3 linked regions of the Nothobranchius furzeri genome follow. The protein of the gene in region 3 purifies or fractionates together with the protein of the main gene of each other region. This does not show direct contact. Links are inferred from orthologs where the notes say so. Each region holds a gene or a part of one and is shown on either strand. Other genes may lie near its edges.

Region 1 (2,431 bases), on a different chromosome or scaffold from region 3:
CTAGTGCTTATAAATTATACAATTTTCAGTTTTTCTGTCTTTATCGCAACCAATTTTGTTTTTATGTTTTAACCCTCTGGAGGCAGGCGTTGCAGATTTGCCTACCTGGTTACTCCACACACGTGTTTCATGAGCATTTTTTAACTCCGAAGTTCCCCTGAAGGACTTAGTTGTTCGTCCTTTTATCGAAACTCATTTTGAGCCTGAGAGGGTTAAGAGTTCAACACTTGAGGGAGGAAGACAGAGCAGCTTTTTCTAGCTATGCTGCAAACATACGGTCTGACTAAAAGCAGCTGTAGCATGAGGTGTGAGAGAGTTGCTACTAAAAGAGATTTTTGTTTGCTCAGATTAATCTGGCAGAAAACACAGACCGTCACTACATATCCAGTCTCCTGTTTTTGCAGGAAAAGAACACAAGTACCCAAGTCCAAGATGAGTTTTTGGAGCTCCTGTTGTGGGGACAGTCGAGGTTAGGAACGTGTTTCTGTTGTAATGCCTAGCGTCCAGCAGATGGGAGCAGTTCATCAGGAGTTGGTTTCAGGGTTTTGTTATTGAGTTTTTCTTCTCGTCTGCTCTGTTTCCAGTCCTGAACTACAGGCTCTCCTCATGAACCAGCTGACTGTCAAGGTCAGATAAGATCAACTTATTTAATTCAGAGATGTGTTCATTAAACGCTGAGGAGTTTCAGATCTAATCAAGGGATTTATATTAAAATCAGTTATTTTGTGTGTTACAATGCCCTCCTAGGGTCTGAAGAAGCTCGGTCAGTCTATTGAGTCTTCCTACTCCAGCATCCAGAAGCTTGTGATCAGCCACCTGCAGAGGTATTTTATCATAGCATCTAAATGCTACCTCGTTTGTTTTTATTTGTAATCGTTCTGTGTTTTCTCCAGCGGCTCTGAGGCTCTGTTGTATCACCTCAGCGAGGTGAGGGGAATGTCCCTGTGGAAGCAGAAGTTTGAGCCTCTCGGTTTGGATTCAGGAGCTATTGATGGTAGAAGTCAAATAAATAAAAGTCCTAACTATTCATATTGGCCTTTTGTTGTTAGTAAAGGTGTTTTTGTTTTGCAGGTGCAATCACGGCTGTGGGCTCGTTCTCTCTCAAAGCCAATGAGCTGCTGCAGTAAGCTTGCGACCTTAAACGTGAGTCATTTCAAAGTGTTTCCACAAAATGCGTCCTTTATTTTGTCTTTTAGGGTGATTGACAAGAGTATGAAAAACTTCAAAGCGTTTTTTCGATGGCTGTATGTAGGTGAGAATGAAGTTTTTTAGTTGCAGTTACTGCATATGATTTAGTTTGAGTGTTTTCGGTTTTATTTATGTGCTCACGCTGTGTTTTGCCTCATGAAGCAATGCTACGAATGTGTGACGAGCATGTGCCCCCAGAGCTGAATAAGGTGGGATTTAATGGGAGACGAGGGGCTGTGGGGCTTCATGAAGTGGCTGTACAGTTTCATTGTGCTGTTTGGTTTCCTCCTCAGATGACTCAGAAGGACATCGCCTTTGTTGCTGACTTCTTGTCTGAACATTTTAGTGAGGTGAGGCGAGTTCATGAGTGGTGCTTGCTTGTTGTCATGCTGTTTATAAACTTGCTTGATAAATAAATGTGGTGCGGAATAGTATCAGTAGTATTTATTTAGTAGAGATTTTAAACCTGATTTCACTGTTTAACAGAACGAGGAACTCTTTAATCGTAAGGGGAAATACTTCAACGTAGAGCGAGTTGGTCAGGTGAGGGCTTTTGTTACTGAACAGTTTAGAAAACATATCAACATTATCTTCTTACCTTGTGGTGGTTTGTCTTTGTTTTGGACGCTTTACAGTACCTGAAGGATGAAGATGAGGACCTGGTGTCTCCTCCCAACACAAAGGGTAACCAGTGGCTCAGGTTTTTACAGGAGAGCACACACCTGAAAGGTAAGTGATGATTTTGAGTTTAGGTGCCTAATTGAACTTTTGCAGAAGGTAAAATGTTTTATTTGGCGTTTTATTTTGTGGGATACAAAAATAACGAAATCCTTCCTCTTTAGAGAGTCCTCTGCTGTTCCCATCATATCCTCAGAAGTCCCTGCACTTCGTCAAGAGGATGATGGAGAATGTGATTGAACACTGCCTCCAGAAGCCTGCTGTAAGTGTTTGTGTGCCGTTTCTTTTCTCGTCAGTACGAACAAGCATCCCGTCGGCTCTGCAACACTATCACTCTTAAATATGTTGCCTTGTTTGCAGGAAGTAATTGGAAAATCTGTCAAACAAGCAGTCTTCCTTCCTTTGTACGCCATTTCAGAGAAGTAATGTCCCATTTGTCTTTTTATTGTCATTGTTTAACATAGTTAAAATTTAAAAGGAAATGTAATTAATTTGATGAATTTTTTTTCTCCTTTAGGCCAGAAAACACTCCACGACTGTTTGAGCTTCCATCTTTGTGCGTGAA
Region 2 (3,655 bases), on a different chromosome or scaffold from region 3:
TTTTACATTACTGTATTTTTGCACAACTCTGTTGCTGTGAAGCTCGCACACAAGAATTTCACTCGCATGTACTGTACCAGTGTACCTGCACATGTGATGTGACAATAAAAGTGATTTGATTTGATATCAAATAGCATGTTATAATTATGAAAGACCTCTTAAAATGAGCAAGCAATTGCCAGTTATTCTTCAAGTTTTATTCAAAATTAGTTTGCATAACTTCAGCACTTCAACTTTACTTCACAGTAAACAAATGCCTGTGCAAAAAATAAGTAAACAACCTGAGCTGATTTTCCCCTCGTGTGAGAATCTGCTAGCCTGCAAGCCAGACAATAACTAGGAGGATAACGCTGCGAGCGGCTTCGGCCCAAACAGAACCAGAACCGCTCACGGCGCAAACAGCTCGCCAGCTGTTTCCCTATTAACACACGTCCGTTTTAATTTCTACACTTTTTTTTCTCACACTAACAAGGATTGTCGAGAAAGCATGTTTGCTGTGGTTTTGTCAAATTATACTGATCACAAAACATTTATTTACTTTCTTTCGTTTTCCTCCGCCACTCATAAATACCCGTGTCCTCCTGCAGAAACCCCGAGGGACAACGGACATCAATAACACAATAAAAAGTCCGACGTGTTGTGTAAAAACTGCTATTTTTAGCACATTTTAAGTCCGACGTGTTGCTACCAGATGTACGGTGTGAGCTGAAACTGAGTGCTACAAACGAAAAAGTCGCACAGTGCCTGCAGAATATATAGAAATACAGGCTAAAAAGCATTATCTTGTAGAGGCTCCGAGTTCCCTTGCAGAAGTGACATTTACAGGTGCTGCAGCACGGAGGATGTGGTGTTGTAGTAGGCTAAATCCATGTTGTTACAGTATTTACACTGGACTACGTTTTCCACCTTACGACGTGAAAAATGGTTCCACAACTTTGACATTTTCTGTCTTTTTCTCACTCCACCGGGGTACAAGTTGTCCGCCATGGCTTAAGAGAAAGTTAAGTTATATTCGCTACTCGCGTGTGCAATCAGTCCAGTGGGCATGTGCGTCACTTATTTCGGTCCGGGTGAAACATGACCCCGTGCGTTTGCAAAGCCATGAATTAATTAAATATGAATTAAACGAATCCTCGAGGCAGAGAATTTGACTCGAGGATTTTTTGTACTCGAATTATTCGAGGTACTCGAGGAATCGTTTCAGCTCTAGTGCCGTACACAGGCGCCACCGGTCCCTCCGACCACCACCAGCAGACAAGGGGGTGTAAGTGTCTTGCCCAAGGACACAACGACGGCGCCAAACTGAGAGGGGTTCGAACTTGCAACCTTCCGATTACGGGGCGAGCACTTGACTCGTGCCACCGTCACCCCTGGTTCCGACTCCACTGTGTGTGACTTCTTTTGTGCATGGAGGTCGCTTTGGTGCCGTGACCCGTTCACACTGGACAGTGTTCGGTGTCGCATTTCAGTCATAATGTGAACAGCCACACAAAATAATCAGATTTACTCAAAAATTCAGAATTGAGCATCAAGACCTGCATTGTAAACGTAGCCTAAATTATTATTTCAAAAACTCTGACCAAAGTGGAGATCTGGGGATTCTGTGTTGTCAGCATACGCTTGTAGACTTAAGCCTGATTCATGCTCCTCCGTCTGCGTCAGTGCGGAGACACGCAACGCCATTATCCGTCCTTGTGGGCCTGCCGGAGAGCTCCGCAAGGACGGATTGAGTTGAGCTCTCTTTTCTAAACATCCGTCAGTCGAGGCGGGCAACGCAAGCTTGTGATTGGTCAGGACGCCGCTGTTGTTTACAGTGCCGCCATTGCAAAGAGAGCTGAGGAGAACTAGCAACAGACACGGAGCAGCTTGAAGAATACCTCGCGAAAACACTAAAAATATGAACGTTTAATTCTCCCGTGACTGGAGGAGTGAAAAGATGCGCAGCAAGTGTTTTATTTGTGGACAGAAATGACAGGAAACGTGGGTTTAGAGGTGGGGAGCGCATGAAGAGGTGGGAGAATGAGAGACAAATATGTCTGTGTTAAAAGTCTCTTATATACACAAAAAACACAATATAAACGCACTATCTTGGACCGATACATGACAGGATACCACAGAACAGCGCTACGCCCTCTGTTGTCCTGCTGGGGAATTGCTTTGCAACACTCCCCAGGAGACGGAGAAGTATGAGAGCAAAACGCTTCCGTCAATCCGTGCGTGTCTGTCCCTTGCGGAGCTGACGGAGAAGCCTGAACCAGGCTTTAGAGTTTTAGGCTTTGCAGTGTCACTGCTCCCTACTAAATGACTGACATCACAAGTGTGACTTGCGTTTACACTCGTTTGTTTTAAAAAGCTCAAATGCTGCTCTATGTAGAAGACCACAGGCAAAAGTCAACAGGACAGCTATTGTCCACCACCTAATTATTCTTCATCCAAACAATGTTTTTTTTTTCTTGGGGAGGCGGGACTACTACCATCTACAGGCTTAGCATTCCTATGAATGTAATGGACTTTTTTTGCTGTAACTAGGGACGTCCTGTTCCGATATCGATATCAGCCCAAAAACACTATCAGATTATATTGGACTGCATGAAAAATCTCCGACATAAGCCGTCCGTTTCACTTTAAATTTCCTTCCAGCAATTCTATCCAGCAGCTCCCAGATCCAGCATGCAAAGTCAGCGTGGTCAGAGCGTGCATGCTAGCAAAGTAGCAGGGAGCAATGGCAACTGTGCGGCAGTCGTGTTTGTTAAAGTCCACAGAAGACGGTGTAACTCAGTGCAACATTTGCCATGCACAAGTTTCCCATGGTGGAACAGGACCAGCAAAGTTTAATACCTCATTGCACGTTTGAAGCAGCATCACAAAACACTGCATGAGAATTTTCACCGTTGAAACTTTGGACACTCAACTTGTAGCAGTTGGTAAAATGTGGGTTTTTTTTTCCTGATGTTCCTGCCCCAACTCTTCCCACCATTTGCTGACACTAAAACATAACTGAAGTGACCCTGAATTAGTATTTTGTACTTTAAAAATATATCTTTAGTTTATGTGTTTACTTAAAATATTTTTCAGTCTTTTAATTTATTTCTTTTTTTATTCATTTGTTACACGTTATGTTTAAGGTTTACGTTTATGAAACCAATGGTTAAAAAAATAGTAATTTCTTTCATACTCACTGTTGCTGGCTCTTGTTCTCCGATTGAGTAATATCTCACGATCAAGCCTTTCATACGTTCCACACTATGAAATAGGTAAAAGTATGTGTGATATGTGCTGTTATCAAGTCGGATTGGTATCAGTCAATACCGGTATCGTATCAGAAGTGAGAAAGGACATCCCTAGCTGCGGAGTGGATCCAGGGTTTTCCCTAGATGGGCGGGGATGATGTTCGGTTTTAAAAACAACCAGACTACACATTTCCATGGCTTCAGGGACTGAATTTGCTTCTTAATTCTCGTTCCTTTAAAATGAAACAAACACATTTTTCTTCAGTTCCCTGGAAAAGAAATCCCTTCTGCGGGACAACGTGGACCTCCTGGTGAGCCTGGCAGACGTTTATTTTAAAGCCGGGGACACTAAGAATGCTATTCTCAAATTTGAACAAGCGCAGATGTTGGACCCTTACCTCATCAAAGGTAAGTCACAGACAGCT
Region 3 (4,409 bases):
AGCTAGGCTGAAGTAAAAGCCAAGGAATAAAAATGAGCCTTCAGAAGTGATTTAAGATCAGAGTGAGGGGGGGCCATTCTCACTGCTAGGGGGAGTTGGTTCCAGAGAGGAGGCACACAGATTGAGAACGCTCGTTCTCCTTGCGTCTTCACCCAAACACTCGGGACCTGTAACAGGCGGTGGTCTGCTGATTGAAGAATTCGACCAGGTACGTAAGGCTGAACCATCGATATATATATATATATATATATATATATATATATATATATATATATATATATATATATATATATATATATATATGGACAATGAGTTTCCATAGGCTCCAATTAAAAGTTTTTGTGCCAAAATGGGAGGTGGCCACCACCGCCATTTTGACCGTGTCACAGGTTCCGTCAAGCCCAGACAATTCCACAAAAGGGAAGAGAGGCGGAGCTGAGGGTGGGGCTGTAAGGCTGGGATCAACTGACGACACCCGGTCAAACTGAAGCTAATGTAGCTACAAGCTAACCTGAAGCTAACCCAAAGCCAACGCGGAGGTGGGAGCTAAGCTAACGAAGGTAGCAATCTAGCTACAACCGGAGTTGAACTGGGCTGAACCAGCTGAGTCAAGTAGAGAGGCACATAAAGATAGTGACTTAAAAACAAGAAGTAAAATTTTAAACTGGGAGCCAGTGCAGCTGGGTCAGAACAGGAGTAATGTGCTCCCTCCTTCTGGTGTCCGTCAAAGGGCAGGCCGCCATATTCCACACCAGCTGTAGGCGCACAACCGAGGAAGACGTGGATCCATAAAAAGGGGAATTTGCATAATCCAAGCGAGAGACCACAAATGCATGGATCACTGTGTGCAGGTCGTGTCTAGTCAGGATGGACTTCCATCTTTGATAGCCGATGAAGCTGGAAAAAGTAGGATCTAACCACCTGGCTAATGTGGGAGTCCATCTGCAGCTCCGGGTCAAAAACCATCCCCAGGTTAGTGATGGTTGGCTTCACTAAGCTGCGAAAACAGGGTGGTAGGACAGGACTAACTGAAGTGGGAGAGGGAGGAACAAACAAGAGAGCTTCCAACTTAGACTCGTTCAGATGTAAAAGGTTATTATAAAGCCAGCCATTCACCTCATTCAGGCAATCCACAGCCAGCTGCACTGACTCTTGAGGTTTTAATGAAACATAAAAACACCAGAGGGAAGAGAGGAGGTTTCAGAGGCAAAATCCCCCAGCCTCACACAAAAACTTCTGTTGCTGAGGTACGATCTGAACCAGTTTAGGGCAGTTCCCTGGATGCCCACTACCTGGTTCAGTCGGGACAGAAGTATAGCATGGTCTACGGTGTCAAAAGCAGCTGTGAGATCCAGAAACACCAGTAGAACATGGGAGCCGGAATCAGTGGACCACAGAACATCATTAAAAACTAAGAAGGGCAGTCTCAGTACTATGACCGGGACGGAACCCGGATTGCAAAGGGTCTAAAAGGTTAAAAGTCTGCAAATGGTCAGAGAGCTGTGTAAAAACATCTTTCTCAAGAAGCTTAGATAAAAATGGAAGCTTCCAGGGAGGTGGAGTCCAAACCAGCTTTCTTCAAAACTGGTTGGACCACTGCCTGTTTGAAAGCCTGGGGGATAACTCCAGGGGCTTGTCTCACAAAACTCAGAGCTGCTCTTGTCCTCTGAATGGATTAAATTATGATATACTTCTATAAAATAAATGCTTTAAATATTATTAATGAGGGCTGTGCAGTGGTTAGAGCTGTTGCCTTGCAGCAAGAAGGTCCTGGGTTCGCTTCCCGGCCTGGGATCTTTCTGCATGGAGTTTGCATGTTCTCCCTGTGCATGCGTGGGTTCTCTCCGGATTCCTCCCACAGTCCAAAAACATGACTGTTAGGTTGATTGGTCTGTCCAAGTTGTCCTTAGGTGTGTATGTGTGTGTGTGTGCATGATTTTTTGTCCTGTGTGTCTCTGTGTTGCCCTGCGATGGACTGGCTCTCTGTCCAGGGTGTACCCCGCCTAATTGCCCGTTGACCGCTGGAGATAGGCACCAGCCCCCCCGCGACCCTACGTGGACAAAGCGGGTTCAGAAGATGGATGGATATTATTAATGACACATTGGGCACTTTTCTGGGCTGATCAGTGACATCACTCACTGCCAAAGCAGTCGTGACCCGCTGACGTCTGTGCAAGTTCTGAAAGGGCTGAATCTGAATGGAGACACAACAGCTGAGAGGACTGGGACATCCTATCTCCTGGTCAAGTTCCCCATCCCAGGAACTACCCTGGAGTTCTGGTAATGGAAACATGCCTATTGTGACATCATATGGTGCCAGCTGACATCATAGGGTACCTCTTAGCCAATAGCGATAGCAGATTTAAAATTACCTGAAGAGGGTGTAACACTGACAGTTCTGGGCAGAATATTTAAATTTTAACTAAGATGCTCTAAAATGCCAAATTATTGACTACATGTGTCTACAGCTTGATTAGACACTTATTTATGTATTTTATCAGCAAAAAGAAATTGATTTGGGGGTGACTTGCTCTTTTTTATAATTCACAAATGATTTATTTTGAACTTCGGAATGGTCATTTGAGGGATACGTTACCATTTGTTTAACCACACTGTATTTTAATGCAAACACGTTTAACGTTTTTACCAAGGGGATGGTGACATCCTCATACGGTAGTTTGTCTTCTCTCCAGGCATCATCAGTCAGATCCAGGACTCTCCCGTCTCGTTGAATTTCACTGTCCATTTCAGGTTCAGCAGCTGAAACAGCTCTCAACAAAAACCCACTCAACCTCGCAGGGAAAGCTGAAGTTCATCGAAATAAAAGAAGAGAGCAGCGGTAAATAATTTCGATAGAATATACACTTAGAGGAGACGCTACGCTTAGCTCACAGTAAACAGACGCTTAATTTAGACGTAGGCGTCGACGCTTGATGATGACGACACAACGATACCTTCAGGTGCAGTGGAGAGTTTCTGAATTTTTTTACAAAGCCAACAAAGTTCTATATTTTGACCAGCAATTTAATTCAGTCTGATTTATTCAATGTTGTTGTTTATCAATAAACCACTCTGTTATAAAAGTAAAAAGCAATCAAAACTAAAAAAGATGAACGATTCCGTTTCCTTCGTCTAAGTGGTTTCCATGGAAACCAGACGCATCGTTTTTCTTGACCCACGGAAGAGCTGGCGACTGGCGAGGCCTGATCAAAACAGCGCGGACATTTTTGCGGTATTTGTGTATTTTAAGGTAATTAGTATAACAATGTACGCAAACAGCGGAGGCCCTAGTAAGCCTCAGACGCATCTAGTTATGTATGTATCCAATAATCCTGTAAAAATCCCTAGCCGACTACTTCAAAACAGGAAATGTTAGCTAAACGTATTTGTCTGTGGGTGCGTGCGTGTGTGTGTGTGTGTGCGTGCGTGTGTGTGTGTGTGTGTGTGTGTGTGTGTGTGTGTGTGTGTGTGTGTGTGTGTGTGTGTGTGTGTGTGTGTGCGCGCGTGTGCGGTATTAAAGATGTGGTTTATTTGTCCTCAGATTTTAAATGTCACTAAATAATACTGTTTGCAAAAAGCACTCACATAGCCAAAATTTTAAAAAGCTAATAATAATGCAAGCTGTTTATAATTTAACAATATAATTTTAATATTAATTTTATATATTAATAATAATTTTGTACTTTTTCTAAGCAAACACACACACACACACACACACAAATATATATATATATATATATATATATATATATATATATATATATATATATATATATATATATATATATATATATATATATATATATATATATGTAACTACTGAAGTTGACTTCAGCAGGATTGGTCCTGTAGGGGTTGAGTGTTGTAAACTTTTCTTTTACTTTGCAGACACTCCAGTGATGTCCCTGTCACAAGAGCAGCAGACAGAAATCACAGAACTATGCACTAGCCCTGGAAACCCAGCAGTCTCTTCCATTACCACCTCGGCAACTAGAAGCATGAAATCAGCAACAAACCCAAACATTGGAAGGATCCTGTACAGGACGACTTCAAGTGCCTATGGCAGTTTCCCTCCGACCCCTGAAAGCTCACCTCACTCCTACCACCCAAAGTCTCACAGATTTACTAAGGAACAAAGCAGAGGAGGGATGTACCAAGATAATTCTTTGAATACGGCCCTTGACCGGAGCAGGGTGCATGACTGTCCCAGTTTACATTACACCCTCTGAATTTATATTTGACTTCATTTAAATGATTTAAATGGATAAATAAAAATTGGATGATTTGCAGCTTTTCCTTCAGCTACTGTATGTAAACACATATTTCATTGGCTTATGTAGGGATTGAGTTTATTAAACGTAATACTTCAGTCTCCACTAATGGCGTATTTCGTCTTGTATTCTTTAAGG

The links.
Region 1: the proteins of anapc13 (region 3) and anapc4 purify together in Homo sapiens (affinity purification with mass spectrometry; 9 studies listed by BioGRID and IntAct, counting the BioPlex papers as one, with this or other methods). This does not show direct contact. The link is inferred for Nothobranchius furzeri from reciprocal best matches to the Homo sapiens genes ANAPC13 and ANAPC4.
Region 2: the proteins of anapc13 (region 3) and anapc7 purify together in Homo sapiens (affinity purification with mass spectrometry; 3 studies listed by BioGRID and IntAct, counting the BioPlex papers as one, with this or other methods). This does not show direct contact. The link is inferred for Nothobranchius furzeri from reciprocal best matches to the Homo sapiens genes ANAPC13 and ANAPC7.

The regions. Positions count from the first base shown.
Region 1 is NC_091748.1:39,292,673-39,295,103, forward strand, and holds part of anapc4 (anaphase-promoting complex subunit 4), read left to right. Parts: intron 1-404; coding exon 405-469; intron 470-584; coding exon 585-627; intron 628-747; coding exon 748-824; intron 825-893; coding exon 894-994; intron 995-1,071; coding exon 1,072-1,123; intron 1,124-1,196; coding exon 1,197-1,252; intron 1,253-1,350; coding exon 1,351-1,397; intron 1,398-1,481; coding exon 1,482-1,538; intron 1,539-1,674; coding exon 1,675-1,731; intron 1,732-1,786; exon of another isoform or gene 1,787-1,823; coding exon 1,824-1,917; intron 1,918-2,030; coding exon 2,031-2,128; intron 2,129-2,226; coding exon 2,227-2,288; intron 2,289-2,383; coding exon 2,384-2,422; intron 2,423-2,431. UniProt on the Homo sapiens protein: Component of the anaphase promoting complex/cyclosome (APC/C), a cell cycle-regulated E3 ubiquitin ligase that controls progression through mitosis and the G1 phase of the cell cycle.
Region 2 is NC_091757.1:28,335,435-28,339,089, reverse strand, and holds part of anapc7 (anaphase-promoting complex subunit 7), read left to right. Parts: intron 1-3,495; coding exon 3,496-3,638; intron 3,639-3,655. UniProt on the Homo sapiens protein: Component of the anaphase promoting complex/cyclosome (APC/C), a cell cycle-regulated E3 ubiquitin ligase that controls progression through mitosis and the G1 phase of the cell cycle.
Region 3 is NC_091744.1:86,652,658-86,657,066, reverse strand, and holds the start of anapc13 (anaphase-promoting complex subunit 13), read right to left. Parts: upstream 2,948-4,409; 5' UTR 2,747-2,947; coding exon 2,648-2,746; intron 1-2,647. Other genes in the region: pierce1 (piercer of microtubule wall 2 protein), read left to right, coding at 3,900-4,229. UniProt on the Homo sapiens protein: Component of the anaphase promoting complex/cyclosome (APC/C), a cell cycle-regulated E3 ubiquitin ligase that controls progression through mitosis and the G1 phase of the cell cycle.